Linked DNA regions of Caenorhabditis elegans. The protein of the gene in region 1 interacts with the protein of each later gene in a biochemical or structural test. Each region holds a gene or a part of one and is shown on either strand. Other genes may lie near its edges. The genes, in order: sre-24, mpz-1 and dsh-1.

The links.
Region 2: the proteins of sre-24 (region 1) and mpz-1 form a complex in vitro, tested with the Caenorhabditis elegans proteins (one study listed by BioGRID).
Region 3: the proteins of sre-24 (region 1) and dsh-1 form a complex in vitro, tested with the Caenorhabditis elegans proteins (one study listed by BioGRID).

What each region holds. Positions count from the first base shown.
Region 1 is NC_003283.11:2,881,111-2,890,429, reverse strand, and holds sre-24 (Serpentine Receptor, class E (epsilon)), read right to left. Parts: upstream 5,720-9,319; coding exon 5,259-5,719; intron 4,825-5,258; coding exon 4,668-4,824; intron 4,623-4,667; coding exon 4,500-4,622; intron 4,379-4,499; coding exon 4,254-4,378; intron 4,210-4,253; coding exon 4,005-4,209; downstream 1-4,004. Other genes in the region: srw-4 (G-protein coupled receptors family 1 profile domain-containing protein), read left to right, coding at 1,649-2,217, 2,705-3,239; Intermediate filament protein ifc-1, read right to left, coding at 6,852-7,265, 7,322-7,864, 8,165-8,449, 8,493-8,603, 8,886-9,035.
Region 2 is NC_003280.10:10,772,975-10,782,932, forward strand, and holds the start of mpz-1 (PDZ domain-containing protein), read right to left. Parts: upstream 5,153-9,958; coding exon 5,100-5,152; intron 1-5,099. Other genes in the region: ect-2 (Protein ECT2), read right to left, coding at 5,968-6,118, 6,507-6,636, 6,699-6,840, 6,935-7,010, 7,059-7,486, 7,537-7,662, 7,711-7,789, 7,845-8,350 and 6 more.
Region 3 is NC_003280.10:5,211,189-5,224,253, forward strand, and holds dsh-1 (DiSHevelled related), read right to left. Parts: upstream 9,487-13,065; coding exon 7,968-9,486; intron 7,854-7,967; coding exon 7,778-7,853; intron 7,480-7,777; exon of another isoform or gene 7,276-7,479; intron 6,467-7,275; coding exon 6,345-6,466; intron 6,298-6,344; coding exon 6,057-6,297; intron 6,003-6,056; coding exon 5,827-6,002; intron 5,389-5,826; coding exon 5,152-5,388; intron 5,104-5,151; coding exon 4,936-5,103; intron 4,644-4,935; coding exon 4,477-4,643; coding exon of another isoform or gene 4,435-4,476; exon of another isoform or gene 3,932-4,434; intron 3,857-3,931; coding exon 3,744-3,856; intron 3,462-3,743; coding exon 3,335-3,461; downstream 1-3,334. Other genes in the region: C34F11.2 (DUF4440 domain-containing protein), read left to right, coding at 1,105-1,288, 1,341-1,549; C34F11.1 (RING-type domain-containing protein), read left to right, coding at 1,806-1,870, 1,958-2,074, 2,118-2,210, 2,256-2,516, 2,565-2,709.

The DNA.
Region 1 (9,319 bases):
ATCACAGTCTGATTTTGGGTATAGAAGTTAATTATCTCGCGTTTGCAACTCGATTTAAGTACATTTAAAGTCAATGGATCATCAGATTTGGTAAAATTTGGTAACTTCCTGGTAACAATTGAGATTCACCACAAAAGACTCAAAAGTGTGAGATCACATTGCGAAACGTGCTTTTGTGGTTTCAAACTACGTACTCTGTCTAACCCATTTCTCAAAATTCTTTTTTTCGCTTGGAGCATGCATTGCAGATTAACGCTTCCCGGTTGCCAGGTAAACTAGCTGATAACCCATAAATTAAATTCGCTTCATCTTATTCTTTTGATGCTTTGCCTTATCTGGCGCTTTTTGGCAATATACTATAGTTTCTGGTTTGAGTCAACTTCACGGGCTTGGCTCCGCTGGTGTCCAAATCAGTAACAAATCATCAAACTCGAGTCATGGGTAACTTTACTTGTGAAATTTGAAACTTGAAGTTTATTTTCCAGATCCGAGAATACTCAGGATCTTTCCAGTTTCTACGAAAGTGTATTCCACTCCAGCATTACATCAACCCTATTCTCCTATTCTCCAATAACTCATACGAACACCATCATCTCTCCAGAAGCTCCAATAATGTAGGTTGGAATATTTTGGCAATATTGAAGTTGCATATTACATTTTTTTTCAGTGACGGAGATTACCACTACTTCTGGGGAGAACACTATGTGCACAATGAAGAAAGACCGCAAAAGTGCGAGTTTCAGATTCCAGATGACGATCTGGAATTGAAAAATGTGAGTTCCCAGAATCTTTGAATTTGGTTTTTTTTTTCACAAATGTAAGCAACTTCAGGTGGCATTCTCTAATGGCACTAGACCAACTTCTCTAACTTTTGGTTGTGCCAGTTCTGACAAATGTTGTGGAATGGAATGTTGCAGTAAACCAACTAAACTAGTTGTGTGAGTGAACATAACATCCCTATATTTCAGGTACAGTCGTAACTTTTTGCAGAATTCTTGTTGTGCTCGGGTTTCTGTATGGAACTGTAATGTATTGGCTTGATAGGAAAGGATATATTAAAAGCACGAGAGAGCACAGAATGAGAGGAATTCAGTGGTTGGCAGAGAGACTCAAAAAGGCGCAATCTGTATATATCACTGCAAGGGACGAAAATATACCAAAACCTCCCGGGCTTGCAGCTTTACAACTAGCCAATCCTGCTCCGTCGGACTACAATCATTTTCTACAAAGCTGTGGCAAAAGTTCGGTTGCCCCAGAAAACTTCTACACGTCTCAAAAATTTTAGAGCTCTGCATTTTTCGAATGTCTTGCATTTCAGAAAAAAAAATTATTTGCTTTGAAGACACATTATGAAGAATATAATTTTTTATCAACAGCAATTCCCGGTTTTGGCATTTTTTTGGTAAAAAAATTTTTGATTTCCGAGTTAGACACCTCAATTTCTATTATTTCCACTGTTCGAGATTTTTAATCTTTACTTTTTAGTCACTTATGTGTGTAACACTTAATAAAAGTTTTACCAAAATACTCACCGAGACAAAACATACCCCTTACAAAAATGGTGTTTACTAGGTAGAATAATGCATTAAAATATTTTTGCTGTGTATAAAATGGAGCTTACTTATTATAAAAAAAGAAAATATTAACCATGAACCAAACATTTGAATCAACCACCCAATCCCCAAACCTCACCAAATTTGGAGATCTGCCAAGCTGGTTTGATGAGGCTGAAAAAAAATTAAATTTTGTTCTGGCGATACTTCAATTCTTTGGATTTGGAATTAACCTGGTTCACTTTTCAATTTTGAGTAGAAAACATTTAAGAACCAATTCAGTCTACCGACTTATGATTGGAATTTGCTCGTGTGATATCATATCACATACTCTAACATTTCTCGCATTTTCTCCTTTCTGGATTCGTGAAGTTCGGAAAAAGAACCAGGAATGTTTTTTAACTATGACCTATAGGGATGCTGTTCTACTACTCTACCCGGTTATCGTCCTGGATATCACTCAACGGAGCTCATCGTGGCTTGCCGTACTGATGGCTCTGTATAGAACTCTATCGGTCAAGTATCCAATGAGCACAAAAATGCACAAAGTTTCAAATCCAAAGTGGGCATTGTGGACGATTATTGGAGTGTTGGTAGTTAATACTGCGTGGACTTTAGTAGTTTTTGGAAGACATAAAATTGACGGAAGGAATATTGACTATGAGTAGGTTCATTCTATCTTCTACCTGCCTACGCACCTACCAATGTTGGTCTTATTACCAATTTCAGGTGTTTTTTCAGTGCACTTTATATTTTCCGCATTTGTTGTTTCTACAATTTTTTTAAAAATTTCTTTTTGAAATTTAACAAGCCCGCCAAAACTGTTTTTGCAAAACGTATAGTAATCTGACTTCCCGGCATTTTTTAAAAATTACATTTTGAACTTCATAGTCAGCCAAGATTTAATAAAAAAATTAAAAAAAAACAAAGTTTGACATTTATGAAAAAATTTTTTGGAAATCATAATATTTGAATTCCCGCCAATTTTTTTTCGAATAGTTATTATTTTAGTTTCCGTTATAGTGATTTTTAAAATAAAAATTTAAATCTGTAAAAATGGTTGTTTTTCTAAGTCTTCGTGGCCTATCATCCATTTGAAATTTGTTGCAAAATCAAAAAAATAATCAATTCTGTCAAACAATTATTTTCAGTTGCGATGGTAACGAAGTCCACCTTTCCCAGCTCCGTTTCATGGTTCTGGTCGACACCTCCCTTGAACACCTCCATAGCATCATAACCTCAATATACGGAATCATCAAAGCCCTCCCATCCCTTATAGATCCGATTCTCACTGTTTTGTTGATAATTGAACTGCGTAAGGCCTCAAAACGAAGGAAAAATATTGGAAAAGAAGATTGTGGAAAGTCAGATAACACTACCAAATTGGTACTTTTTGTGACCATCTCATTTTTCATACTGGAAGTTCCCAATGGGTTTGCCCATGTTACCGCGGGGGCTTTTCACGGAAACCCTGGAATTCTAACAATTTCGTATATGATTCAAGTTTTTGCCGAAATTCTTCCAGTGTTCAATTCATCCTCTCATATATTCATTTGCCTTGCCATGTCGTCCCAGTATAGAGAAACATCATGTGAGATTTTCTGTGGAGAAAAGTCGAAAACACAGGTAGTGGGAATTTACCAAAAAATACGTTATTATGTTTCTAATATGATTACAGATCATTAAAGTTCAAGAATGCCACCGACATGCTACTAATACTTCTTGCGGATAATTTGAAATGGACTTTCAATTTTCAGCCAATAAATTATTTTGAAAAATCACCTTCTGTTTTTTTATAAATTCGTGAATTTTCTGGAATTTCTTCTTTATCTCTTCCTTTCCCCCACCTATGACTAAACCTCAGCCTAAGCCTACGCCTAAGCCAAAGCCTAAGACTCAGCCTACGCCTTTCAATCGTTTAAAACAATTTTAATGATTTCTCAATGTTCATCTCATAGTATGTTGCTAATAGAAAACAACTTTTCAACATAATCTCTCAGAAAAAGTTTTTTTTCGCTGAACTGAAAACTACTGAAATTTTGTATTTAAACTCAGAAAGAGCATACCAAGAGCACAAAAAATGTGCGAAAAATGTGCAAAAAATGTGCAAAAAATGTGCAAAAAATGAGCAAAAAATGTGCGAAAAATGTGCGAAAATGTGCGAAAAATGTGCAAAAAATGTGCAAAAAATGTGCGAAAAATGTGCGAAAATGTGCGAAAAATGCGCGAAAAATGTGCGAAAAATGTGCGAAAAATGTGCAAAAAATGTGCAAAAAATGTGCAAAAAATGTGCAAAAAATGTTCGGTTTGTTGCAAAGTGTTCCCAGTGTTAAATAGGTTCTATGAAATATTTATTTGCATCACTACATATCTCAGTGTTTTTTCAGCAATTTTCTCCCGAGAGCAACTAAAATGCTTTTTATAAAGTTTCTTGCAAAATTGGAATTTTTTTCAAATCCACGCATCCTTCAATTGTCTAAAATAAGTATCCGTTTCTTTCATAATTTGCTTCTGATTGTCATCAATAACGTCCACACTAGACATTCGTATAACCATTTTTTGACGGAAAAATGAAATTTCCGGAAAATACTTGACGAATCTTTTTTTCCAAGCAGGTATCCCAAACACTATTAATGGCATAATTAGCAATGGATAGCTGGAAATTTCAAGGGTGTTTTTTTGTAATTTTCCCAGGCCTACCAAAACATCATATTTTCTCCTATATGGACTGTAAATGGCGAGAGCAAATTAAAAGATAGTGCCAATAAACCACTTCCAAATAATAAAAGGGAACCGAGAACCGATGCTACTATACGTTCACTGAGCTGAAATTATTTTTTAATTAAAAAAAAATTCCGAATTATCTATGAACATGTCTTATATTTTTTTGAACACTTCATGCTCCTAATCGCATATTATGTTTTAGTTTTTAGCCGACTGACTTACGTAAACTGCTTTCAGATTCTCCTTAACTTGGAATCTTTGAGAAACTGTAAAAACTCTTGTCCTCCGAGGATTCTCCATCTCTTGAAGCCATTTTGTATTTATCTCCCTTATATAAAAATACATCTGAACATGTTTTTTTCAAACTTTATCAAAGTAGTTATGACTTACAAATATGGATACGACAAAACAAGCCACCCAGGGAAGTGTTAGCACAAGTTTTGGAAAAATATTGGAAATCAGAAGAACGGTTAGAGATATTGCAAAAAATTGGGACATTGTGATAATAGCCACAGGTATCAATATATTTGTGTTTTTCTCGTAGTTACTGGAAGTATAGGTAGTTAATTGGAGAAATATAATTAACCAGCTGTTCGACCGGGGCACACAAAATTAATTTATTAAATTTTGAAGCGCTAAGCCACATTTTCCTGAAGTTTCGCGGACTTTCTACAAAACTCGAAGTGGCTAGATTTTTCTAGAAAGGTCTAGTAACTAGAAAAATTGAATATCCAGCCAAAAATTTTTCGATTGGTCGGTATGGGGTCTCACCACGATAGATCTCTCCACGATGGATCTAGTCAATTTTTTTTCTCACAATCAGGAAACCTGAATTTCCTACCAATATTATACCACGTTGGCTCTTACGAAAATAATATTTTTCCCGCTTTTTTGAAAATTATTTCTAGAGTCTTCAGCACCTGAACTACATTTTTCAATACTTTGAGACTACTCCTTTCTCAAAACTATTCCAAAACTCACTCTATCAACAGCGAGGCAATCACTCTTTCTGTTACAACACCCATTATTCCAAAAACCACTGAATACCCAAAATAACATTCCAAAAATCCTGCTACTATCAGAAACCAAATTCCATCCAATTCTTGCACATTGAGCATTTTTTCCGGGTCATCCGTCCAAAAATCGCCTTTTCGCCCGATATCATCAATTATTGGTATAAGTCTATATGCTATAGTTATCAACTTCCCAAAAATCAAAAAGTACCACATTCCAAATGCGGAGCCTCCTATGATCATCAAATTAGTATGAAAAATTCGAATTTCTAGGATGGTTTTCAGAGCAACAGTTTTCACGTATCCAGTGAAAATATAGAGGCAAATTTCAACCAAGGTAACCAGCACTTGGCCCCAGTATGGCTCGTCGTAGAAGATAAGCGGGAGCCAGAAGGTCGGGATACTAGAATTTTTGACTTTTATAAACATTTGGAGCTGGAGCAAGTTAGGAGGAAATTAGCTCGGAATAAATGCGGAAATGATATAATAGTTAGTAGATTTCAGGCTAGTAAATTCACCTGTTTTGACTCATGTCATTGCGACGAACATCATAAGACTGGATTTTTGAACAAAACTATGTGTTGTTCGTTTTTTCAATATTTTGAAAGTGGAGTAGCGCCAGTGGGGAAATAGTTAAAAACCACTCCTTCAGTCCCAAAATGACCAAATATAATGATAAAACTTTTCAAAAATTTTTTGAAAATTTTTTTATTCACTGTTAAAAAGTGGCAATTACTCAGTTTTTGCCACTCAAAAGATTGGAAGTGGACCAAAAAAATTTTTTTTCGACATTTTTCTTTTTTTTTGTTTTTTGTAAGTTGTTTATAATAAAACATTGCAGGGGTCGAAACATGCGACATTTCTTTAAATTTCCTCAATAGCTCGAATTTTTCAAAATTTTGGCAATTTGGCAAAACTTTGACCGGAAATTATGAAAAATCTAAAGTTTTTTGGAGTGTTTTATTATGATATTTGGTTGTTTTGGATCATTTTAAGTGCATTTAGACAAAATCCCCACTGGCGCTACTCCACCTTTAAGAAGTTTTTAGAGTTCTTTGAAGCCAGGGTGACTCTGACTTATGTGGAATGTTATAAAAAGTTGTGTTGTGAGGTGGGCTCGGCTACGGTCAATTCTCTCTTTTTTCCTAACAAATTGAGCTTGAAATGATTCCACCTCGCTTCTAAACTTCCACCACTTGCGCTACGTCGTTTACTGTCGGCCACTCCACTTTTGGAGGCGGCTCTCCACCTGCTGACCGTCTCCGCAACACCCGCAACGTGGATGCGCATCCCCTAATTGACTGTTATTTTTATAGCAATCAATGGGTTTACGACAACATCTGTGTTACCTCGTTACATCCCACAAGTTGGCTACATAACATAAATGACATGACAACAATTTATTTGATACATTTGTTTTTGAACAAGACAGGAATTTGAAACTTTCTATCGCCATCACGCTTTGAAAGTTTTCTAGAACAACAACAAAAAACAGAAAAAGCTGATTGGTATTGTATGGAACAACACTATTTGACGGCAATGAACAGTTTCGATTCACTGCCTAGTTGTTGGACGAAGAGTAGGAGTAGGAGCTCTCGTGGTGTCTACCAGCTGCACTGATGTCTCCCGAAGCATGGTAGCCATTGATGTGACCTCCAACTGAGACACCGCCAATGTTACCACCGACGGATATTCCGTGTGAGGAGGAGGACCGTCCGATGTATCCGCCAGTGGATATTCCGCCGACAGCACCACCGGCGGTGATTCCACGAGTGTATCCTCCGGTTGTGTAGCCTCCGGATGTGTAGCCTCCAGCCGTGTATCCACTAGAATACCCATTGGTCGTTGTGGTTGTAGTAGTGGCGACGTGGGTGGAGGATCGGTAACCAGCGGCTCCAGTCGAGTTGGACACATAGGTTGTCACGTTGGCTCCGTTGAGCAGTACTCTGTAGCGTTCCAGCTCTGCTTGTAGCGACTGAAACGGATATAAAATTTCTTGAATCTATAAGTTCAGTTTCCCTAAGTACTAACCGTTTCATGATCGCAAAGCTTCTCCATCTGTATGCTGAGTTCCGTGCAGCGCTCCTTGAACTGTTCATAGGTTGCTTGCTTTGCGTCCAGGGTTGCCTCGAAGATTCTTGCTTCCTCTGCTTGTTGGTGTTTAAGATCTGTGATCGTCGTCAAGAGCCACGCGTTTCTGCTCTCAATCTCCGCTAATCTACTGTGCGTCGTGCTAAGTGTCGTTCGAATGGATAACAGTTCCTCCCTGTAGTCTTCAATATGTACGTGTGCTGGGATAACTCTGATCTCATCGATTCTCTTGCGGTAGGCGATTTCAATGTCCTCGCGGGAACGAATGCTCATCGCTTCATAGTTGGCACGAATGTCTCTCATCGCCGCCTGCAACTCTTGTCGGAAGTAGTCTCGGTTTTCGAGTGTGGTATCACGGTGGATGTAGATGAGCTCCTGCTCGATTCTGGATGAGTTTTCGGTTTGGATAACCTGGACGCGTTGGAGAAGCATCTGGACACTGTGGTGGCGTTCGTTTTTCAACGCGATCTCAGCGTGAATTTGCTGAAAATAGATAGGACTTTGTAAAAGTAGCACACTCGAAATAAGCTACTCTAAATCTAGGCCGCCTACTTGGAGGGTTGGTTTATGGAATGAAGCCCGAATTGGGACCCCAACTGATATCAAGTGCTGACATCTAACTGGTTCCGCGCGCGCGCGCCCACAGCGAGGTGAACATAGTGAGGGCGCGGAACCCGTGAGTTGTTGTCGGCACATGATAGTGGTTTGCGCTGAGGGTTGACCTATTTAACATGTCTATTACTATCAGAAATGTGAGCTTCGTTCTTTTCCCATCAAACATACCGAATGAATTCTGCCAATATCATTTTGAATGCCACCAGTCTCTCGACGAATTCTGAGCACATCCTCCTCAACAATACGGATCTTGCGATTGAACAGCGCGATTTGGGCTTCAACCTCGGCGAGCTTGTCCAAATTGACATGATGATCCTCGCGATGAGATCTCACAACTTTGAGAGCCTCAAGCCACTTCTTGCGGTAGATCTCGATCTCTCCCTCTAGCCCGGTAATGTCGGCTTGGAACTTTGTGCGCGATGACAAGATTCGCTCAGAAATGACTGTGCAGTTCTGGATTTTGAAGATGAGCTTTTAAGGAATTTATCGTACTTACCGAAATTTCTGACTCGAAGAAGCTTGAAATGTGGCCACCGCCCGAGAATCCTCTGCGAAGAATCTCAATGTCATGGGAGAGCACATGGTTTTGTGCTTTGAGGAAGCGAACCTAAAGGATTGAGTAAATTGACGGGTACATATAGAGCAGAGATCAAAATTCAACCACATACATAAAGGAAGTAAACACGCTTATCAGTGAAAATTAATCAGTTATTAGGAATACGGCAAGCAAGTGCCTGCAAAATTATGAAAACTGATGGAACTGTGGTGTGAATATCAGAATTTGACTAAAAAGATAGAGTATATCCCGGCATTTTGCGAGCTCTGCAACTTACTGTGTGAGAAACGAAATCTGGAAAATGTCGGGACATACGCTCTTAAAAGCACATACCTTTTCGATATAATCAGCCAAGCGATCGTTCAAGAGCCCGATCTCTCTCTTCTCACGCTCACGAGCATCCCTGATTTGCGTTGTGCAAATGGCTCCGGCAGATGACATGCCGCTCACCAAATTCGTCGGAATACCTCCGTACAAGGACATGACTGAAAATGAAAAATCAAAAGTTTGAAACGTCAGAATTTGAGAATTAAAAAAAAAACTAAAAAAAGAAGATGCTTAATGGCAAACTGAAAGTTTTAAGATTATACCAAGCGGTTTATAGTCGCCCCGAAAACTGTTTACTACACCAAAGTCTCCGCCCACAAATAGGCCGCCGGACTTATTCTCGGTTTAACCACCCGTCTTATCAGTTGACATTTGTTTGAAATTACTCCGCAAAAATTGTGGAAAACTTGGGAAACTCTGTGCCGCAAGGAATTCTTCCT
Region 2 (9,958 bases), on another chromosome or scaffold:
ATTTTCGTTTTTTAAAGATTTTATTTTGAATATAAAAATGGTCGCTACCATAAATTTTTGCGGCTAGACCAATCAAAATAAATAATTTTGTGCCTTTAAGCAAAAAAAAACATAAAATTGTGAATATACGAGTTTGTTGCACAGCAAAAAAAAAAAATAAAGGTGTATTCTTATGGACAGAGGAGGCCAATAATTTTTGATGGCCAAACTGTTTAATTTTTTGAAAATGTAAAAACCATGAATTGGCATATTTGTAATATGGCAATTTAATTTACCTATTACGAAACAATTCCGAATGTTTGTCAATTTTTCAGAAATTAAAACTTCTAAAAAGCTACTCAACTTAAAAGCATAAGTGTGAGAGGTAGGAGAAATTTATTTAAACAGTCAGAGAAGTGAAACAATTAAAATTACACGTTTCTTTTTATTTTTACCCCAAAATTAAACTATGTTCCAAAAAAAATCAGAGCCAAGATCATTGGGCTCTCGTTGGCTCCTTGGAGCCCGCGGGGCCATCTCAGAAAGATATTTGTTACACACACACACATACACACACACAATTCACAAAAACAATAGATTTAGAGGGTTGAAGAGCCCCTGTGTGTGCTCCCGGTGAACCACATGCTTTCACAGAGGGGAGAAGTCCCACGATTTGTTGTGACAGTCATGTCTCGGTTGGTACATGTTCAAGATTGATAATTGAAGATTAAGAATTAGAGTCAAAGTTTGATAGGTAGCTTTGGCTCCAGAAGCTCGAATTAAAAAAAAACAAAAATTGGCGGGGCTTAATTTGAAAAATTTAGAATCGGTGAGAAAATTTTTGGGGAGAACTTTCAGCTGGACCATTTTTTTATTGAGTTTCATTAATCAAAAATTACTGAAAAAAAGACTTATCTAGCTGAAAATTCGCTCTGGAATATTTGTCTCCAATGCTTTGTCTCCAATGCTAGAAATTCCAAACTTTGGCCCACTCAATTTCCGCATTTTATGAAGTTTTGCAATCTAATTTTCTTAGATTTTCTTTGTTATATATTGCATATTCGGGCCAAAAAAGGAACTCAAAGGAAAATATCCAAAAATTAATGTTTACTTAAAAATTATCAAAAGTTAATTTTTGGCTTAACTCTGTAAGTACAGAAGATAATTGTGGCTATTTAAAAAAAAGAAATTTCGGAAATTTCCGGTTCCTCAAAAAAAAGTTACAAACAAATTTAAAAGTGATCCGCCAATGTGTAAAGTATGAGAACACAAAACCCGATTCATTGCTCCGAGGAGCACTTTGAGGCGGAAACCAGGTTAAAAATAAAATTCTTAGTTGATCCGGGTCTAGTCACGTAGTCTCAATCTCCAATTTGTACCTACTTTATGCCTGCCTACCTATGTGACTGCCTACCGCCTATTTTCGATGCTTTTGTGAGTTTTGATTAGAAAATGTAGGCACGAATTTGGAAAAAATTGAAACGCCTGAGAAAAATCAATTTGAAAAGATAACATTGAAAGAAGAAGCTGAAGCTCATTGAATCTTTCAATCGTTGTCAATGACCAGCATTTGATAGATGGAAATATTGTTTGATTGGGAGAGACGGCAGACATTTGATAGAGCATCGTAAGAGCACCAAGAAGAAAATTTGAAAATGAGAGTTTATAATATTTCGAATATTTCGAGCAATATGGTGTTAAAATATTGGTGCTACTATTTTTTGAATTTTTTTTCCAAAAAATGATATTTCAAAAGGTTCTCCAAAAAGAAACCGAACATGTCCAGACATCAATAAAACGAAAGAAAACTACGAATTGCATGTCCAGTTTCATCTTTATTTTTCCTACGGCCGGAAAGGTTGAGTGAGAAATGAACGGGCGGACATTTGAAATTTGAAATGTCCAATGGAGCTGTTGTTGGAAATATTGGAAACAATAAATAAGGGAAAGGGACATTGAAAAATGAAAGAAAAACGAGGATTAGGAAGAAAAGACGAAAAATGAAATATGAAGAAAAAAAGTGGAAATGTGAAAAAAAACGAAGGAATGAAGGCGGAGAAGATGGAAGATGAGGAGGTCGAAAAATGGAAGAATAAACACTTGGGCATGATGGATGGAAGGTTCGTCTTCCAAGAAGTTTCAGTAGAATTGTGTGCATTTTAAGAAAAAAATGTTCTGGAATATTGAAAATGTGTACAGTAAGACTGGCATGATTTTGGTGTACGTAAAGTGTACGTCCGGTTTTCCAGCAATAGTGTACAGTAACCATCCATAACCGAACTCATATCGAAACATAATCTACCAGTTTCGAGCTGATTATCCAAGGTCTCAAATCATCGAGGCGACCAGCTTCTTTTTTTTTCAAAAAAATCTTTACTTAAAATTCACATTTTGAAAACTATCCATTTGTTGGAAAAAAGCAATTCGAAAAATAGGCCAAAAAATCCAAAATTAGGGCAAACCTGAAGGTGACCTCTGCCTGCCTCACGCCGAAAACGCCTACGCATGACTGTTACGCCGACATTAGTTGTAGAGAACAAATTTCTAGGGATAATTGATAAAAGTTCTTTGGGGAATTATTAAACTTGGAGGCGGAATGAAAAGTGCTGACAGCATATAGATATTTTTAAAAAATGTTAAACAAAATACTGTACGACAGAAATGGAAAAAATTGTCATAAATCAGAAAAAACCAGAATCTGGAAGTACACGACGTCTATTTTTCTATTCCTCCCCGGAGTGCGAATGTGATGCATTTGTGTGTGTGTATTTCTCTCCATGTGTGTGTGTGTGTTTGTGGATAATTGAGCTATCGTCTTGCGTTGGAGCAGAAAGACGAAAAGAAGAAGAAGAAGTAGCAGATGAAGAAAAGAAAAGGAGTTGGCGGCGGAGGAGCTGCCGCGGAGTAGACGGACGGAGAGGAAGAGTAGGCGTGCTCTGTGTTGGTGGCTAGTAGCATCTTGAGAAGAAGAAGAAGAAAAGACCAGATTTATCCGATTGATACGGGTGAGAAACTGGTGAGAATCGATGTCCTGTGGAAGCCAGGATTGGTTTTTGAGAAGTTAGTTACATATTGGGTGAGAAGGTTCAGGTGGAAACACCCGTCTTCGCGTTCTACTGAGGCGCGACAGAATGTCACCCGTCACTCGCCTGTAAAATGCCTTCACAAAAAAATGTAGCCAAGCTTAGAGGAATGCGAAAATTCTAATTACTTGGGTGAAGCCTGTAGGTACCGTATGGTAGAAAATAGTATGACAACCCTAAATCAAATCTATTGAATCTTTTGTTGAAAGAAAACAAAAAGATACGGCAACTTATAATATTATTTTCCAAAACTATAAACAATGAAGCAACTGTTCGGAAATATTGTTCTTCCAGAAAGGAAAACGGGAAAGTTTAGGTTTTCTTCCAGATGATGAAAGGTTTCAGGTAAGCTCCCGGAGCCCCGATGCCAAAGCGTTCGGATTGTTATCTCAATAATACGGTCCTTGGTCTCGACACGACAATTTTTTCAAATTCAAAAAGGTATGCGCCTTTAAAAAGTACTGTAAATTCGAACATTTGTTGCTGCGGAATTTTCATCGATTTTTAATACTTTTCTTTCCCATATATACATTGTTACAGGCGTTAAAAAATCGATCTGCAATGAGAAAAGTTTGTGGCTACAGTACACTTTAAAGACGCATACCAGTCTGAAATTAACAAAAAAATTATCGTTCCGAGACCGGGTACCGTATTTTTGGAGTAATGGGGTTATTCAAGTAATGTAGCAAAATGTATTAAAATACATTTGTGACGTCACAAATGTATTTAAATACATGTTTTTATATACTTGAATAAGGTTGTGACGTAATTTTTCTACACTTTTTAATTTTCCGACACTACTTGAATAACCCCATAACAGTTCTGTGTACAGAAAAATCATTATGCTTAAATCAAGTTTCTATTTTTTTTAAGTTTTTCTGTTTTTTTTTATACTTCCGAAAACAAAAGCGAAAAGGTGTTCTAGCGTAGTTCCCAAGAGTCCTTAAATTCATCTTTCTCCTTGTCTACTTCAACTCTTCCGAAACGGATGTAACATTGAGCCGGCTCCGGGACCCCCGCCCTTCTCTATGCACCTTTTTTCCCACCAAACAACGTCCACTTGGCACAATGCTATTTGTATAGGAATCAGGGAAAAGGGCTTTTTCGAAAACTTTTTCGACTTAGTTTACTTTTTTTTCTTTTTTGGGGGTGCATGATGCTTCAAGTCATGATGCACCATGTCTATAATATGAAGAAAAATGAGGCAAGAAAGGAGGGAAAGTGTATTAAAAGAACAACATATGGTAGTGGTACTACACAAAGAAACATTGGAATAAAGATGGGACCAAGGAAAAAAACGAAGAAGAAAAAAGATGAGGAAAAGTATAGAGGAGATGCATAATTAGAAGAAGAAGCAGAAGAAAAGGAAGACGTCTCCTTCTGGACGGGGGGACACCAAAAATGGAGTACAAAATGAAGGGTCTAACTATATTATTGAGACATTGCATTTCCTTCGTTCTATTAAAATATATTTTCCCCCTTTTTTTGCCGCAGCTTTTTATAACCAAACTTATAACCAGCTTTATTTCATCAATTTTAACATACAAATAATTTTAAAAAAACAGCCTAAAAACGAAACTGGCGAAAATTGACTGAAAATGTTCGAATTTCTAGTTTTGCCGCCAATTCCTAACGAGACCCAACGTTTAGGGGCGGGGCGTTTTAATTTGGCAGTGGAGCGCGATCGTGCCCCAAATCAACTGATAAAATGTATGAGAAAGTTTTTCAAACAGTCTCTTATTATCCAATTGCGAATTTTAGCGATTTTCCCCAATAAAATTTGGAGGCTGCGCGAAAAGTGTGCGCGCCTTTAAATTGTACAGTAACCCAGCTGCGGCGTTTTCCATTTTTCTTCGATTTTATTCACTTTTACCAGAAGTTTCAGTTTTGTTTCTGAACAAAAAATATTTTTCTAGCAAGAATGTGTGGAAAAATCCGAGAAATTATCGAAATAACGGGAATCTGCGGGTTATTGTACTTATTAAAGACGCACATCTTTTTTCTCGCTTTCGAATCATTTTTTCTTTTCAGACCTACCTTCTTTCGGCTTCATCTTCAACTGCTATTATATCCTCTGGCTCATCGATCATTCAATGATGTATTCCAGATTCTGAATCACAATTAATTAGCTCGAATTTTAAGAAGATAAAAAAAATTTAAAAATCTGAATTTAAAATATACTAATATGCAGGATCCTGGCCAAGACGTGTTTCGGAATGAATGAATAAAAGCCAAGCGGCATGTGCTCCAAGATATGAAATCTCCAGGGGCCATCTATAAGGCTCCGCCCATGTTTCCTTTTTCTCACTAATCTCATCTTTGTTTCTTTGTTTTTAGAGAGTTCAAAGACTTAAAGACAAGTAGGGTGTAATTTCATTTGAACCCCCTATCGCATTTTCTAACAAGAATAAAATTTGAATTTTCAAAAAAAAAGAAAAAAGTAATCGTAACGTTACTGTGGGGGAATGACCATTCAAATGAATGGTGAGAATAAAAGGGGAAAGGGGTATCGGATAAGAATGGCATACAAGTGATTTCGGGGAAATAATAAAAGTCAAGGAGCAATGGTCACACAAGCCTCGGGGACAGGAAGATGATAATGACGATTTGGGGGGAAAAATACACCTGTGGTAAATGGTAAATCAGTATGATACAAAGGATCTGGTCGTAGTTGTGGATGGTGATTACGGTAGTTTCGGTTGTTGTAATTACAAAAACGAAATGAAAAACTACGGGTGAAAACATGAAAAATGTAAGAGGGAGGGAGCTGAGAGCAAGCAAGAAATAAACCATCAAAATACACCGGTGAGCATCTGGAGGTATGAAGCTCGGAAAAGAGTGAGAACGAATTATTTATCAGTCGGAGGAGAGATTCGAGTTATCAGTTACACGGGTGCGGGGAGTTTCAGATATCGGTGACACGATATGAAGATGTTTTTGAGCGAGGTAGTTCCTTTTCCGAATGAGCAAATCCGGTAGCCTGACGGCGCATCGACGTGTTTCGTCCGAGTATGTTGTGTCGGCCGCCGAGGAACGTTGTCGAGGTGAGGCGAGAACTGAAATAACTAACAGGATATGTTAGATGTAGAGTGTCAATTTGGCATTAACTCATGGGAAAATATGGTCAATGAATGAGGCAACACGCCTTCAAGATCCGGCCGAAAAGAAGATCTACTAAAAGAAGATCTACTAAAAGAATATCTACAATGTGAAGATCTACGGCTTCAGGATCTGGCACCGTGCCAATTAGAAATTTTCGTGGTTTTCTCGAAGAAAAACGTGACAACAAAGGAGCATCATTGTTAAGTTTTTCTTCGATAAAACTACGAGTATTTCTAGTTGACACGGTGCCACATCCTGAAACCGTAGATCTTCAAATTGACTTTTCGGACAGATCTCGAAAACGTGTTGTCTCCGATAAATCTGTGGGGTGCATTGACGTACCGAATTCCTCGCTTTGGCGTCGATTCAGATTCGCTTTGGCATCCAGGCAATCCGCCGACTGACGTCATGTTTGCGAGAGCTGCTGGATCACACGAAACTCTGGGAGACTGCAGAAATGTCGTGTTCTCGTCTGAAATTAGTGAATCAAATACAATTTCAGAAGAAAAAAAAATAAATTTTCTAAAAACGCACTAATTTGTCCCAAGTTATTTCGACTCTGATTTCTGCCAAAGCCCAGCGTGGTGGCAAGTGTGAGTTGAGCATTACTGAACGCTCGTCGCATTCGACTCTGTGACTGTGGTGGTGGCATAAACGACTCATTGTGTGACCATTCCTGTAATAAAAGTTTATATATAAGCATTCAAGTTAGGTGTAACACTGTGGACAATTTTAATTTCTCCACTCATGTATCAAACTTCATTTCTCACGTTTTGTGTAGATCGTTCACTGACCGTAATGTTCATCTGACTGCCGTGTCCATATTGTGGTTTCGCTCCGCAAAGACTGAAATTTTGATTTTTTCTAAAGACTTGAAACCTGAAATAAGCCTACTTTCTAAAGTATCGAGTTGTCATATCCGAAACCATCGCATCGTTGATCTCATTCATATCTGATGGATCCGACGAGTAGAAGAATCTCCCACAATCACTCAAGATCTTCACATGAATATCGTCGAGAAAATCTCGAACCTCTTCATCATCATTCGATTCGAAGACTGTGTCAATGTCACCACCTTGCTCGTCACGATGAATCAGGCACCATACAAACACATTTGGCTTTGTGCTTCCGTTCTGCTGCTGCAACTCCAGACACTTCGCAATCTCGTCGGGAGCACGAATTCGGAATGCACTACGCATCGTGTTCAACTGTATCTGGTCAATGTACCTGTAGGGGCGACGCTGTCTCGAATGTAAACTGGCAAACGACGCGTGACGAGCTAGACGTTGCATTGTATTCTTCTCGCTGCGTATTTTCGTGATCTGAAATTTCAGAATTATTATTCAAAATAATTATTTAAAGACTCTCTTACAATTAGCACGTCATGAAATAAAAATAATTTCATTTTCGCAAACTGCTGTAGACCTGGCGACGTACTTGCAATCGGAGAAACGACCAACTCTCGTATGAACATTCGATTGGCAGCCACCAAAATTGGCTGTAAAAAAATTATTTTAACATCTGTTCAACAAATTTCCGCGCTTACTGGAACATTTTCAATGTCAGTGAACTTGCTCAGATGGGAAATGAAGTTGTCATTCTTTTCACGAGTTTTGTTGGCGGTTCTGAAAAACAAATGAATTTAGAAAAATAAAATTTAATTATGTTGAAAGTACACACTTCAAAACTTCGTCAATCGCTTTTGCGGCCTCTTCAGCATTGTTCTTCAGCTTTGAATCGGATTTCTTTGCCATTTCTTTGAGTAAAAGAATGACACTTGGAAGACGTTGCACTGGTTTCACCATCAAATCCGTCAACTTGAGCCGATGAAACTCTGGATTACTCTCTTTTGCCTTGCAAAATGTGTGAAATTTAGAATTCTCTCGATCCTGTTTATCGAATAACCGTTTGATTGTGTCATAAGAGTTGATGTACTGAGGATATGCCTTCTTCATTTCTTCTTTTGCATCAATCCACACTTGTGCAAAGTCCAGATTCTTATCATCGTTCTTTTTTCCATTTACGACCGTCAAAAGTGTATTCGCTTCGTTTGACATTACTGTCAGTCTGGCGAAAATCCTTTCGTGAAGTTCGAGAATCGGATCCAGCTTTCCAAACATCATGGCGACATCGGATCTTGACATGAACTCGTTGTGTGAGATCTCACATTCCAGAGCTTCTTTGAACTGCAAAAATATTCATATCAGAAAATGGAGACTTTTGAAATCAATGTGCAAGTGCGCTCCAAGGCAAAATGAAAAACGATCCGCCCCCAAACGTTGGGTATCGTTAGGAATTGGCACCAAAAAAAAGAGGTAAGTTGTTATGTTTACAAGCATTTTTTAAAAACTTTTTGTAATGTTTTCTATTGTTTTAGTTGAAAAACGAATAGTTTCAGTTTCGACACAAAAATCATGGAAGCAACAGAAGACACAACCAAAAACGCTAAAAGTTCTTGGAAACTTCTGTTTTTCTTGCCAAAACCTAACGAGACCCAACGTTAATGGGCGGAGCTATTTCGTTTAGCCGTGGAGCGCGCTTGCACCTCGCGATAAGTCAATATCCAACCTTGACAACAAGCTTCAACAGTGACAAGTAGTTCTTCTCCGTCTCCACCATCTCCATACAAACTCTGAGCCGTTTCGATGGTTGACGTGGCGATTTGCACGAGTTCTCCACATCATCATTCGAGTATATGTAGTCTGGTGTCATGTTCAACGAAGTTGGTCCTTCAACACTACAGTCACGCATTGATGACAAAGATCTCGAATTTTGGGAGCGAAGAGATTTTCCAATCGGGCTACTGACACTACTGCTTTCCAGTGGTTTTCTGTGAAGTTTGCCAGTTGGAAGAGCAAAGTTATCCTCTATAGCACAGCAACCACGGTGCAGGCTTACCCAGAACCACTGTAAATTGAGAAATGAATATTTAATTTAATTTTCTTTTTTTGAAAATTGATTTTTAAATCCTTTGAATTACCTCTTTAGTGACGTGAACTTGATTAGAAGACACTGCTAATGTCTCAACTTCGTCATTATCAGGATTATACACAACATGAGTAGCCAACGTGGGACTCGGAGCAAGTTTTCCACCTGTATTCTCCAAGCTTCTGAGCATGTCATCTATCTCAGTTTGTTTGAAGCCGTGGAAGAATAGGCTGAGTCCTTCAAATACGCCAAGTCTATGCTTATCTACCTGAAAATTGGCAAGCGATGAGAAAATGACTTTTATAGAGAGAATTTTTTACAAAACATGGTTCCATCACATCAAAATACGAGTCATCACGATGTTTCCAGCATTCTGTGACCCAATCTGCTCGCATCGTAGGCACACCGACTAGTGAAATTGACTGAAAAAATGAGAGAATACAATTGTTTTATACTTGAATGTCATAGCAGCCACAAATTTGGAAAAAATGTAGGGCTTTTCCAAAGAAATAGTCCGAAATATATAGCACTCACCTGAACTTTGGCTTCAACTTTCGCTGCGATGAACACATTTGTTCGTGATACTGTCTGAAATTCAATTATTGTATTTTTATAGCTTTCAGGATCGTAGGTAACTTACATCTTTCCTCACACTACCGCCCATATAATGAACCAAGTCAACGAGTTCTCGCTTATTTGGTACTTCTGCTGCTAACTTCATTGTTACATCTTTCATAAGCTCGCAGTAGAGTGGTCGGGCAGCTCGCAACGTCATCAAATCCTGCAATTTTTCAGTGAAACTGGATGAGACCTTGCGCCGAGTTTACCTCATTTTTCAGTAGCTTATTTTTCAACACGGACGCCCC
Region 3 (13,065 bases), on another chromosome or scaffold:
ATACCGTCTCCAAATTTTTCGAATATGGAAACGTTTATTGAAAAAAAAAACTGCATAATTAAAACGAGTCCTCTCAGCAACTCAAAAATTAGAATGCGTCTTTTGTGATGTACATCAACAGTTTTACCATGAAATAAATTAATCTCTTCATAAAACAATAGATCAGAAGATGCACGCCTCGAAACATTCAGAATGCTTTTTAATGATGCCGAACACCATTTAGTCTTGGAAAATGACATTTTCAAAGGAATCAACTACATCGATAAAAGAAATGGTATTTACAATTTTTAGATAATAGAAGAGTATCGAATTGAAAAATCCCAACAAATTTCCTTTTCTCATGATGACTGTTCAATTATTGGTCTGAAAAGTTTTGTTTTTTGCTTTTTTATGCAATAAAGAGTCTGCATAAATTAGCTTTGCACTGTTACCTTTTCAAAACCAGGGTTTCTTCAAAAAAAAAACCAGCAGGCTCAGCCAGCTCCTTCGCTCGGATAAATAAAAAAGAGTTCAATTCTACATCATGCATAATTGCCTAAAAACACTTATATCTTGGGTAATAATGCAAACTGAGCTAAATAAATTCACGGATGATTAAGACATGCCCTATAAAATTAAAAAAAAAACTGAAATTGTTTTTTGAAGTGCTTTATCAAAGTAGGGTGCTTGAAGTAATTTTTTTTAATGTGGGACCTTTTTACATTTTTAGGTTTAGAAAAGAAACAATAAACAAACTAGAAGGGATTTGTAAGCCTAAAAAGAATGAAAGTTTAATTAAATTCAAAAATGACATAATTCCATGAATAATAAAACAATTTGGAAAAAAAAAGCTTAGGCTTAGGCTTAGGCACACAGAAACCAAAGATTCACAACATTTAAAACTGACGAGCCCGGTATATCAAAAACGCTAATAGTAAGCTCTCGCGACACAAATTTCGTCATATTAGCAACAACATTTCTATCAAAAATTAATGTATTTGACACGTTGTTGAAACGTGTACTAGTAGTAAATTTATTCATTTTCCCTTTATTATTTTTTTTTAATTTGACGCGACCCCACCAAATTTCAATATTCTCAATCATTGCGAAGTTTGCGTAGCTAACATGCTCGTTCTCCGCCTCTTCAACACACAAAAAGCTCGACTGAGTCAACTTCCCAAGGCTTCAAACGAAATTGTCAAGGATTTTATTTCGAAATTGGCGAATGCAGCTGGATCCCGCGACAAACTTTCTGACTGCTTCACGCATGATTTTCAGTTTTTCGGATGCGGTTATACTGTTAATAAAGGTACGTGTTTTTCGACCCTGGAATATCTGAAAGTTAATATGCATACTTTCAGCCCCGTTTGTCGAAAAACATTTGGCCACTCCGAATCCCGAGCCGTTGATTCCGAAATGCTCGAGTTTCAATGGAAATGATTCAAAAATCAGCTTCACAGCTTCACATCAAGACGGACCTCGAGAGAATATTGTGGATCTCGTTATTTCGCGTGAGGAGAAGGACAGTCCATGGAGACTTCAATCGGGAAAAATTACAAATTGCCCTTGATCTTCAATAAATGTTGTCGAATGGCCTAAAATCAATAAAATACTGGCTTCGTTTTCCGTGTTCGTTCTCATTTCTCTCGAGGGAAAATTGCTAGAATTTTTTAAACAATAAATGAATAATGAAAGTAAAAGAACAAATTATCAATATAATTTCCACGGGCTTTTCTTTGAAAAAACAAAAGTAAGAGAAAAAGCAAAATGACTTCCAAGTTTCTTTATTTCATTCATTCCTAATTTTTATCAGTCAACTTGCAAAGATGTCGACAAACTTGAATATAGAAGTCAGTATCAATTTAACTGAAATCGATGTGAACGCTCAATTGTAAGTTTTTTGTTTCAATCAAATCGCCTAAATCTCAGAACTTGTTCATTTGAAGAAAGTATTCAAAATTTAATTCAATTTTTACAGAGCTGAGTTTGCTCGTTTCCAACAAGTTCGCGATGACTCGCGGTACGCACAGGACGTTGAACGTGAGTTCGTGTTGGGGCCCATTCGACACCACCGACGGCAGCTGGAGCCATCAAGGTACACGTTTGATTCGAAAGATGAATATGATGTTTGGTTTCAGATCTGCTCCGTTGGCTTCCACAGAGCAGCCAGTAGCTCAGGCTACCACACATCCGTCAACCGAGAATGCACGGGTACCAGCTCTAGTTCTAAGGTTATCTTAATTACGCCTTAAAATATAAAAAACACAACATTTTAGATCAGGCTCATGGCGAGCTCTTCCAGTGGCACAAGGCGGTTCCTCACATATTCGTATCTGGCCGGTGTCACGGAGTGCTACAACAACTTCGACGGCAACTCGTCATCCACCATTCACCAATACTTCGGCATCAACTTCATTTGCACCATATCAACGTCACCGAGGAAGTGCTCTACAAACTTCGGAATGCACCATTTGCTTTGAGAAGCCCGTTGATCCGAGAGGATGTCCTAAATGCCTCAAAGTCATTGGCTGTAAAAAGTGAGTTAATATGAGATATTGAAGATGTTATAATTAGGCAGTTTCCAGATGTGTGAAAAAATGGTTTGATACGTCTGCATCGAAGGCGTGCCCACTATGTCGATTTGAATGGAAACTGCACAGAGACAACCCAGATGTTGTCAAAATTTCAACTCTTGAAGTTCTGAAAAGGCAGAAGCAAAACCGTCCATAGACTTATGTCATGAATACAATAAATTATTGTTACTGAAGTTTTTTTTTAATTGTACAGGATTATAATTTTACGCGTAGCCTTCCATGGGGTTTAGTAAGACTTGTCGCAAATACGGACAGAATGAACCTCTCCTATTCTCGACTAACTTCTGTTTAGAATATAAAAGGACTATATCACCGGCTTATGGCACTCGACTCACTCCACCGAGCGGCGACACGTCTTAAGGAACCACCCTGCAAGCAACTCCAACATGGCCAAACGTCTACAACAACAAAGGAAACCCTTTCACACAGGAACTCTAGGATCAAAAGGATGCAATTGAACTGCCAATAACACCGTGGAACAACCTTTGCTACCTTTACGTGAAAAGTCATATCCGATGTCTATATAAGGAGGAAATTGTGGAAGAAACATCAGTTTTGAATTTACTCAAGTGAACTCCATTTGCTAATGATAATATATAAATAAAGTATTGTTAATAAATGAAGTTTATAAATAAGCATTCCACTGAACCGCCTTCGCGACAAGAATTAAGAAGGCGGCGGATAAGCAAAAATCTTGAATAAATAACAGTTTTTATACAGCTCAAAAAGTAAGCACCAAAACATTGAATTAATATTAACAGTTAATACTCGTATCTTTGTCCAGTTGCCATAAGAAATGAATTATTTGATTCTTCATAGATTGTAGAACTATCATCAAATGGAACATTTGCAGACGATGATGGTTTTCTGGGAAGAACAACAACTCGTCTGAAATATTTTAAAATTATATTGGGAGTTATTTCGAAAAACTATGTCAAAAATGTTAGAGTCTACCGTGTTATATAAAATTGGAACTTTTGAAGTCAGAGAAATTCAGACGAAAGTTTTTAAATTTCCAGTGCCTCACACTTTTCACTTTTTTCCAACTTAAGAAACAAGTTCTTTTGGTGTGGTTTTGAATTTTATTTTTTTCTTGAAAATGTTTAAAAAAGCTATATATCTTTACAAAATACAAAAATTTCTTTGTATGTTTATAGTGGAAAAACTCACTGTTTTCTAATTCCACCGCCACTACTTCCACTGGTTGTACTTCCTTCTCTTCTCTGTTGCTGCAATTGAGCTGGTGGGAATGGTGAAGCCGGCATTGATGCATATCCACTTACCTGTTTATATATTTTTCAAATAATATATTTCTCACTTTGCAATGTTCGTGTGGTGTGAAATATAACAACATTCTTTTGATTCAGAATATTATTTATTATTCTGTCATTCTTGTGGGTGGCAACATTGGACTGATACATTTACATGCTACTGAGAAATGAGGGGGCGAGAAAATAACAATGATATCGAATATAAACAATAATTTTAGGGCAAATGCAATAGAAAACAAGACGTTTTTTTTCTTAGTATAGGGTGCATCTATTTCAGACAAGGATGTGGGGAACTCGTGAAGAAGATCGCAATTCGTGTGAATTTGAGAAGGAAATGCAACAAAAAATCGACGGACAGATTCAAAAATAGAATAATCAAATAAAGGAAAAACATCCAAAATTACAATCACCGGGAACATATGAAATTTTGATTCATGATTGGAGACTTAGAAGTTACAAAATATTAAATTAGAACTTATTGTAATACCGGGTACATGGTGTACTGTGAGAGAAACTATTTTGAATTATGCCATTTTGGCATTGATTACCAGACATAATGAAACATAAACATGAAGAAAAATGATGACATTCTAAATGTGCATTACATACATGCGCGATTCGCCGTCGCTTACCATTGACGGAGCCATCCCTTTAAAAGCTCCAGGAGGGCCAGCCATACCTCCAGGTAAATGTGGGGGTGGGAGCATCACAGAGCTTCCGTTGCCAGCAGACATTCCGTTCATTCCGATGGTCCATTGGTATTTGGGTCCACCATCTTCATTTCGGAATCGGGCATAGTCTGGAAGTAATTTAGAAGATATAACAAGAAGGGTTGAATTTCATGTTTTGAATCAGGCAGGGCAGCCTTGAATGCAACCAACTTTTTTGCATTCCTATGGAGATTACAGGCAGACATTTTTGTGCATCAGTGAAAAATTTGTTTTAAAAATATAATTTGAAAAAAATAATTTTTTAAAACAAATTTTTAACATTTCAGTTCAAAAAAATTGCATTAAAGATTTCAAAAGACCCACTTCCATCTTCATATACAAAAACTTTGACATTTTCCGAATAAATGTATACTTTCCTACCTGAACACTCATCTCCAAGGACATAATAGCACTGCTCAGTGAATGTGACCTTGTTCACCACATGTGCAATATACTTTAATTTCAGTAAATCCGCCGCAAAGTTTCGTGCTGTCTTCCGTTCTCGAAGCCCTTCAACATGATCCAAAAGCCATTCGACCAGATCAGATCCTAAAATTGAGAATTAGAATAGGCTCTACACGTTCATTCAAAACTTACCCAAGAACGACATGGGAATCGGAATTTTGAGCCATGTTCGATTTTTGATATCAAGACCAGAGCCAGGCATAGCCATTATTTCGACAACCTTCTTTTTGTCAGTGTGTATATCAAGAATAATATGAGCTCCGCCGCCGACTACTGTATTTTGACCATTTGATCCGTTTGAGGTCACCGTTGAGCTGCTTGGCGGTCGACCATGAGGCCATTCACCAGGAATTGGTGTCGGTGCACTTTCTGGAAAAAATTTTTTAATTAATAGATATTTGTAGGAGAATAACGTAGAAGAAGAACAAAAAACAACATCGAGGCTGTCTTCCTGCCTGCCTACCTGTTTTCAAAATTTTGGTGCAGAAAAAAGGTTTGACTTAATTTTACATTCAGCCTTCAAAATTAGAGATGTGAAAAATTTCATATTTTTATTTTTGTTTCAAAAAAAAATTGAAAATTCCAAAAAGCTTTCCAAATGTTGTTCTACTTTAAAATATCCTAAAACATCAGAAGTCTGAAAAACATCAACTTGAAAGTAGCGAAGAAATGCACTGAATAAATTTCAGCCTGAAGTTGAATAGGTTGAGAGTGCAGCTTATAATTTTGCAAAAAATAAAAAGATCAATCAAATAACAGGCAGGTATTTTGTTTAGTTTTTCTACACTTCCAATCAAAAAACCATACCTTCAACTATACTTGGCATTCCTCTCATTGCATTCGTATGCTGGATCCATGCTTGAGTATCGATTGGTCTCACAGGCTCTTCTCTGCTATTCCTTGGTATTGTGAAACAACTTTGCCCATTTTCAAAACTTTTCGCCACAGTTAATTTGATGGGGCCACGACGGCTAACAGCTTCTCTGAAAATTCATATGTTGAAGAATAAGCTCTCAGTAAAAAATAATAATTTTTACCGTAACACATCAACAGCTTGATCGTTAGTGAAATTCTCAAAGCTGGTCTCATTGACTTGTAAAATCATATCACCAGCTTCAATTCTTCCATCCAATGCCACTGCACCTCCCTTCATGATATTTGCTACGTAGATTCCATTATCACCACAATTAGAAGTTTGACCAACAATTGAAATGCCAAGGAAATTGACTGTATCCATATTGAGGTTCACTGTTATTACATCAAGGCTCATAGAGGACTCTGGAATTCGAATGGTAAAAGTTATGCTAATTTCGAAGAGGTCATACCTGTGATACTTGAAAACGAAGATGCTCTAGAGGGTTTTCGGAAATTTCTTTTATTCTTCTTTTTCTTTGCCATTTTTTCATGTTGTCGGGATACTGATGTGAAATCGGTTGTTGTAGAGCCTCTGAAAAATTGAACGTTTTATAGTTGAAATTGTTATAGATTTTTCAGAATTTTCAGTCCAACTTTTGAAAATTGAGTCTTATTGAGAAACTTAAAGAAGCTTTGCATATTCGATGCCCCACAAAATAAATACAAATGATTTTAAAATTTAAAAAAAAACTGTAGAAATTTTTTAAAATCGAATTATTAATTTATGATAAGCGAAAACTGGTTAATTTCCATTTTGGACTGTAAATAAAAATTTCATAATTTTTTGAAAATCTTACTGTGGTTTTCAGTGATTTTTGCAACTCGTGAGTAACTTTGAACGTTATCAACTAAAATTTTACATGGTTTTCACTAGCTAAAAAAGGAAAACTAATGAGAATTGTGTTCCGTGAAATTCTAAATATAAGCGGAGCACTGCACAAAACAAAATGTTCAAATTCCTTAAAGTTACAACCTAGAAGTTTGTTCCACAAAATCCGAAAAGAACTGAAAGATTTATCGAAAGCAATTATCCACTTCTCATCCATCTCTTTCCACCCGTTCTCACGTCCTTTTCTTCCCCTCCCCAATTTTTATTAGTTTCCTTCAAATAGTGCACAACACTAAGAGCTTGTTGTGATAGTCACTACCAGGCTTTAGCTAGAAGATAAGCGCCAAGCAGGAATTGCTCAAATTTAACGAGCTGTGTCTTATCGCAGAATAAATGAACTGACACGTCGCGAGTTGTGGCACCCGTGCTGCTCGGCGGAGCTGTTCCAATTGCATAGTAATAATCAGAAGTTGAAGTGGAAGTTGTTGAATAATAGGCTTTACCATCAGAGCTTGCGAAATCATCGTCAGTTATGTAGCCGCTCATTTCACTATTTGAGGAGCGGAAGGGCGAAATCATTGGGGGCAGAGTGAGCGGGGATGAAGGCCCGCTTTAAGCCTAGTCATTTGTCACTTTATGTGACAGACAGAGAAGACACAAAAAAAGGTATTAACTATTTGAGAGGCAAAATGAAAACCATCGAATTTTTGAAAATATTTAAAATTTAAAATTTCAAAGGGGTATTGCCTATTCGTAAACTTGGTTTTGTTTTTATGAGTTGTTATATTTTGAATGTAAATTTTTTTCAATGTTGCATATTCCTTGAGATAGCCCTGCAAGACCTGAATGTAGCCCTATTATAACTTAAACTTTTGCTTTAATTTTTTATAAATAAAAATTTGCCGAATAAAATACACTAAATTTTGAAAGGAACACTGTCACCAGAGTACTGGCTTTACATAAAAATTCAATGAAATGAAACCTATGTTTATAAAATTAAAAAAAAAAACATACCTATCATCATCATCTGAAAATACTCTTGCATCGGATTCGGAGCCAATTGTTGATTCTTCGAGATGTCGTCGGTGCCCTGGAATTTAAGAAAACTTAGAATTCGATGCTTTTTCAAATTTTCATAAGATTTTGTTTTTTGAACCTATTACCCTTTACTTGATCACATCATTTTTCGCCATCATTTACCTACCGATCAAATAAAACGATGCATCTGCACTAAGTTCAGAGGTTAAGGATAGATGTGACGTCCTATGTAGAAATCCAATAAGATGTCTTCTCGGCGAAGCATCCGGTGCAACATCTTTCCTTCCTTGATAAGTACTTGTTGTATTTGATCCGCCGTACCTTCGCATTCTGCGCTTCTGTGCTCGATCCGCTCTCTCCTCTTCCACCATTGCCGCTGTACTTGCTGTTTCTTCCTCATAAAGTGGCGGAAGCGATGGACTAGTTGGAATCAGTGACATTGTACGGCTCATTGTGCTTCTTCGTGAAACAAGAGGTCGGCAATCAGATGATAGACCACTTCCATCTACAGTGACCGGCCGACACCTATCGATTCGGTTCAAACTTCGACTTTCAGATATAGTAATACTAGGAATAATAGGTGGACGATCGGTGGTTATTTGACACGTTTTGGATTTTCTGAGCTCCCTAGATGGCGGAGCAAGTGAAACAGGGGAATCAGGAGCCGCAAGGGAAAAAGTTGGTCTGGCTAATGCTGCAGCTGGTGCAATGAGATCCGGTGGTGGTGGCTGAGGTGGGCTCAGATTCTCTTTGAATTCTTTAGTATTAGATCGAGAACTTGATGGTGATGGAGATGCAGACCGAGATTTTGAACCACCAAGTGAAGTTAAAGACGTTAAACTTGCAGCCGAGTGGGACAATCTGATAAGAGCTCCAAAAAACGATGAAGAGGCGGAACCACCACCGGACTCTTTTCCGTTGGCGCCTCCTGCACTTTTTTCGCTTTGTTTCCGTCGTTGTAAAAATCTGCGCTTCGTTGTCGTCTTAGTATTATCCCCCTCTTCGTCGTTACAATCATCTGATGCTTTGCTGGTGCCGGGAAACAGGAGAGCCCCCTCGCTGAGCCGTTTTTTAAGTGGACCACCGAGCGCATTTGAGACCATCTGTCGCCATGTGGATCCGGCAGGTGTATGATTATTTGTGAGATCAGTTAAAGTCCGTTTTAATCGAAATGGTGCCTCAGACTCCGGCTCCACACGACTTTTACTTCTGCTCTTCTTCAACTTTTTCCCCGTACTTGGTTGCTGCTGGCTTCCTGAATTTTCCTTATCATCAGAAGCTTTGGAGGAAGGGAGAATGTTGTTCAGAATTTTCAAATTTCCTAATGGATTTCCTGTATATTTCTTCCTTCTTGGACTTTTTACAACTTCCGAGACGATAGTTTTCTCATCATCAACCAAATCAAGATCATCAATCTTAGCAAGTGGTGGAGCCTTTTTCTTCTTTTTTGGTCTTGACGATGTATTTGTAGGTGACGTTTTCAACTCAATCTTGTTAATCAATTGTGATACAACTCCCGGCGAGTGTTGTCGATTTGGTGGAGGAGCCGTGTATGTCGAACGGACTTTTCGTTCTTTTGAAGTGAATAATAATGAGCGAATCATATCAGATGAAGTGGATGGGGTATTTGAGGAGCCAGAAGGAGATGGAAGGGCTCTATCTCGAGCTCCAAGCTTGATACTCATTGCTCGCTAGTGAGCTATGAGCAATCGTGTCGTTCTCTAGAAAATCGGTTTTAAGTTTTTGATAGTAATAGAGCTGGGAAGTAATAAAAAAGCTTGAAGGTAATAAAAAGAAGAGAAAGAAACGAGAAACACACCTCGATGGGGGGTCATAAATTTCCCAGCATCCCATCTTGTGGCTCATGATGCACTTGGATTAGAAACAGATACTTTCGTTTTACTTTTATCATGTGCTGGGAATTTAGAGAGAAACTGAGAATTTAATAGTCGACACATCGGGAAAGTTGGTACTCAAAATAATCCTGTTGACACCATAAACACTGTCGTTAAACTTTAATCGGACTTGACATATGTCATGTTAAATCTCAATTGACTCGACTATGATAGTGACATCTAAAATTGATAAATTCCTATATAATGAGAAATGCAAAGATTGAGATATTATAATTTTAATATAATATAATTGGTCTATGAGTTTGTTAAGATTCAAGCCATAACAGTAGAAAAATTTAAAAAAAACTCAAGTTTTTATACGCTTAAATCTCGATGTTATTTTGAAAGACAAATGTTTGCTTTCATTTAACTTTTATTTAATTAATCGTTAACATTCACTGATACATCTAATAAAATTAAAATTATAGTTCAATACGTTTCGGTCGAAACTATGTGGCTATCAATTAATAAGATTTTCCCCGTTTCGCAAAAGAGCTTCAGAATAAGTGTTACCATTTCTCAACTAACAAATTTCTTCAACTGGTGGGCTGGAAAATGGCACATGACAACTAAAACCAAGAGCTCACTATCAGTTATTTATATCAACAAATTGCAACTTGACTTATGGCTCACAGTCAAACACCGCAGAGATCCAGAGGAAAACACAATTTGCTATGGTCAGATTAAATGGCAGTTGCTTAAAGAATATTGATCGAAAATTTTTCATCATGACTAGTTGAACAAAGAGTTGCAAATTGATCTCACTGAAACATGTTGCAATGGCTCTTGATGATGACGAAGTATAAAATCAAATGTTTGAATCCACCTACACACATGGGCTAGCAAACATTGATCGGAGGCAGGAAAAGCGGATAAAGCATAGAAAAGATCATTATCAAACTGTCTTTTCTCCCCAAAATCCCGATAGGTATCATGATAGAAATCACAAGTGAGGGATATCCGAAAGTAAATAAAACCACAGATCTCACTATTATAAGGCAGATATCTATTTTCGTGTTAACGAGAATGAGAGCAATATTATGAGATCCTGGGGTGGGTACTAGAGACTATTTCGACACAAAAACGATAATAGTGACAAGTAGAAACATACACAGAAATCGACAAGTGAGCGGACAAAAAAAACTAACTAAAAGTGGGGTGAAGTGGTATGAGGTCTCGAGAAGAGTGTTCAAGTGGAGAGAGAGACAGAAGGAAAGCATCTTGATAAACACTGTGATAAACTCATCGGTCTTCGGGTTTTCATTCCCACTGACGTCGAGCACAGAGATATAGAGAACGGTTTCTCACAAAAAGTGGTGGAGCAAGCAAGGAGCCCGGTTGACCCCCTAACAGAGAAGTTCAAGGACTAATGTTACAAAAGATCGAGAATTGGATGTCAAAGAACATATTTTTCCAATTAACAATGCTTACAAATTCTACCGTACACTACAGTTCTTAAGGTCGCAAAGAGATATTTTTGGTATCTGGTTAATAATTTTTTATTCTCTAATGTCGAAGCTAAACTAAACTAGCTGTGACTTGTTCGCAATTTACCATTTTCAGATGTCATTGTCAGATATTTCAGAACAAAAATTTTTGAAATAAAACAGCTGGGTAGCCTTTCAATGCAACTAGATATCCTGAAAATAATAATCTATTTGTTTCAAAAGTAACAAAATACTTTTTTTTTAATTTTCAACAAAAGAGAGTTTGGATGAATTTCTAATTTGGAGGAAAATTAAAACAGATTATAAAATACGAATTTTATAGAATTTGAGAATATGCTCCTCAGATTAAATTTTCAGAAAAACACAATGAACTAAAATACTTTGAAAAGAAGTTGTACACAAAAGGGAGAATTTCAATTGATTTATACACCCAGCTACCAGGTAATAACCACAATTATGTGATTTTAATTCCACGTAATCACACTGGGGAAATCATCGATATGTATGTGTGTGTGTGTGATTAAATTGAAATGAAATGAAATGTATGTATAAACATTGAATGAAAGCAAAGAAGGAGGAGATCTCCACTCATTGAAATGTGTGTTGGTTGGTTGACTGGCAGCCAGCCAACAAGATGAGCCCAGAAGATAGAATTGAAACAATTGGTCCTTTCTCTGTGCTCTCTCATTTCTTTATGATCTATGAGAAGTGATCTGGGAGATCGGCTCATTAACACCAACATAAAACATGAAAATCAACGGAAGGACATGATGGGGTGAAAGTGTTGAAATGATGTGATCAAGATTTTATGAGGGGAAGTTTTATTGGGTTCACTGACACAATGTAAAAGTTTGCGAGAACTTTCTTAAGAACTTTTTGAGACGAGGTTTTTCTTCCAATTTTTTCTGAAACACTTGGGACCAAGTTCATCGTGTTTCCCGTTTCTCAATTACCCCAAAAGCTAATGTTTGTTTTTTTACCATACAAAGCCTTGAGCCATCTAAGCATTCACAAAAATGCTCACTAGCCTTGACAACTGGCTATACGTGTAATTAGGCACTTTTGTGATTGCATGAGAGGCCCACAGATTATTGTGCAGAACTATTTAAAGTGTTTTTTTTTTGAAATCGAGTATATACCCGTTTTCCAAAAAACAAAAAAGAAACTAACCCAAATAATGTTGTGGAAACCGTCGATTATAGGCAGCACTCTTCAAGTATCCAGGAATTGCTGCCGAGATCATTGATTCCGAATCGGTGCTCATCACTGAAATTCAGGTTGCGTTGAATGTATCAACAATAGTTATAGTTCTTTGAAAAAGAAACAAAATAGACCCAGAAACTGGATCACGGGGACCATAGGGAGGGAAATAAAATGAGAATTAAACAGACATCTGGAGGTTTATGACTTGAGGGTATGAAGACAATTTTACTAGATGAATTGAATTTTTAATTTCTTTTGTCATTGGGGGTTCCGCTAAAGTTTTCCGCTAAATTTTTTCTACTGGGCCCCAAAGAAATTCCTAGATTATTTGGAGCCAATTAATTCCGATACAGTTCTTATTTCCTAGAGAGTTGCCAAGTCCGAATTTCATATATTTTCTGACATAATTTTTTGAAATTAAAAAAAAATCAAATTTCTGGCAAGCCAAAGATTTTCATGTTGGATTTTTCTGGGCGCCGATCAAACTTGACTTGCCAGTTTTTTTTTAAATTTTTCTATGATTTATTATCATTTTTTATAAATAATTTTATCGAATATTTTCTGAGCTTCTCTCTAACATTTTTCGATTGAAAAAACTCACTGGAATTATCAAATTGATAAGCAGCATGTTGATAATTCATAGGTGGTCCATTTCGATTTGAAGGCGCCGGTCCAGGTACTGAAGGATATTTTCGCATCTTCCCACTACTTCCATCCG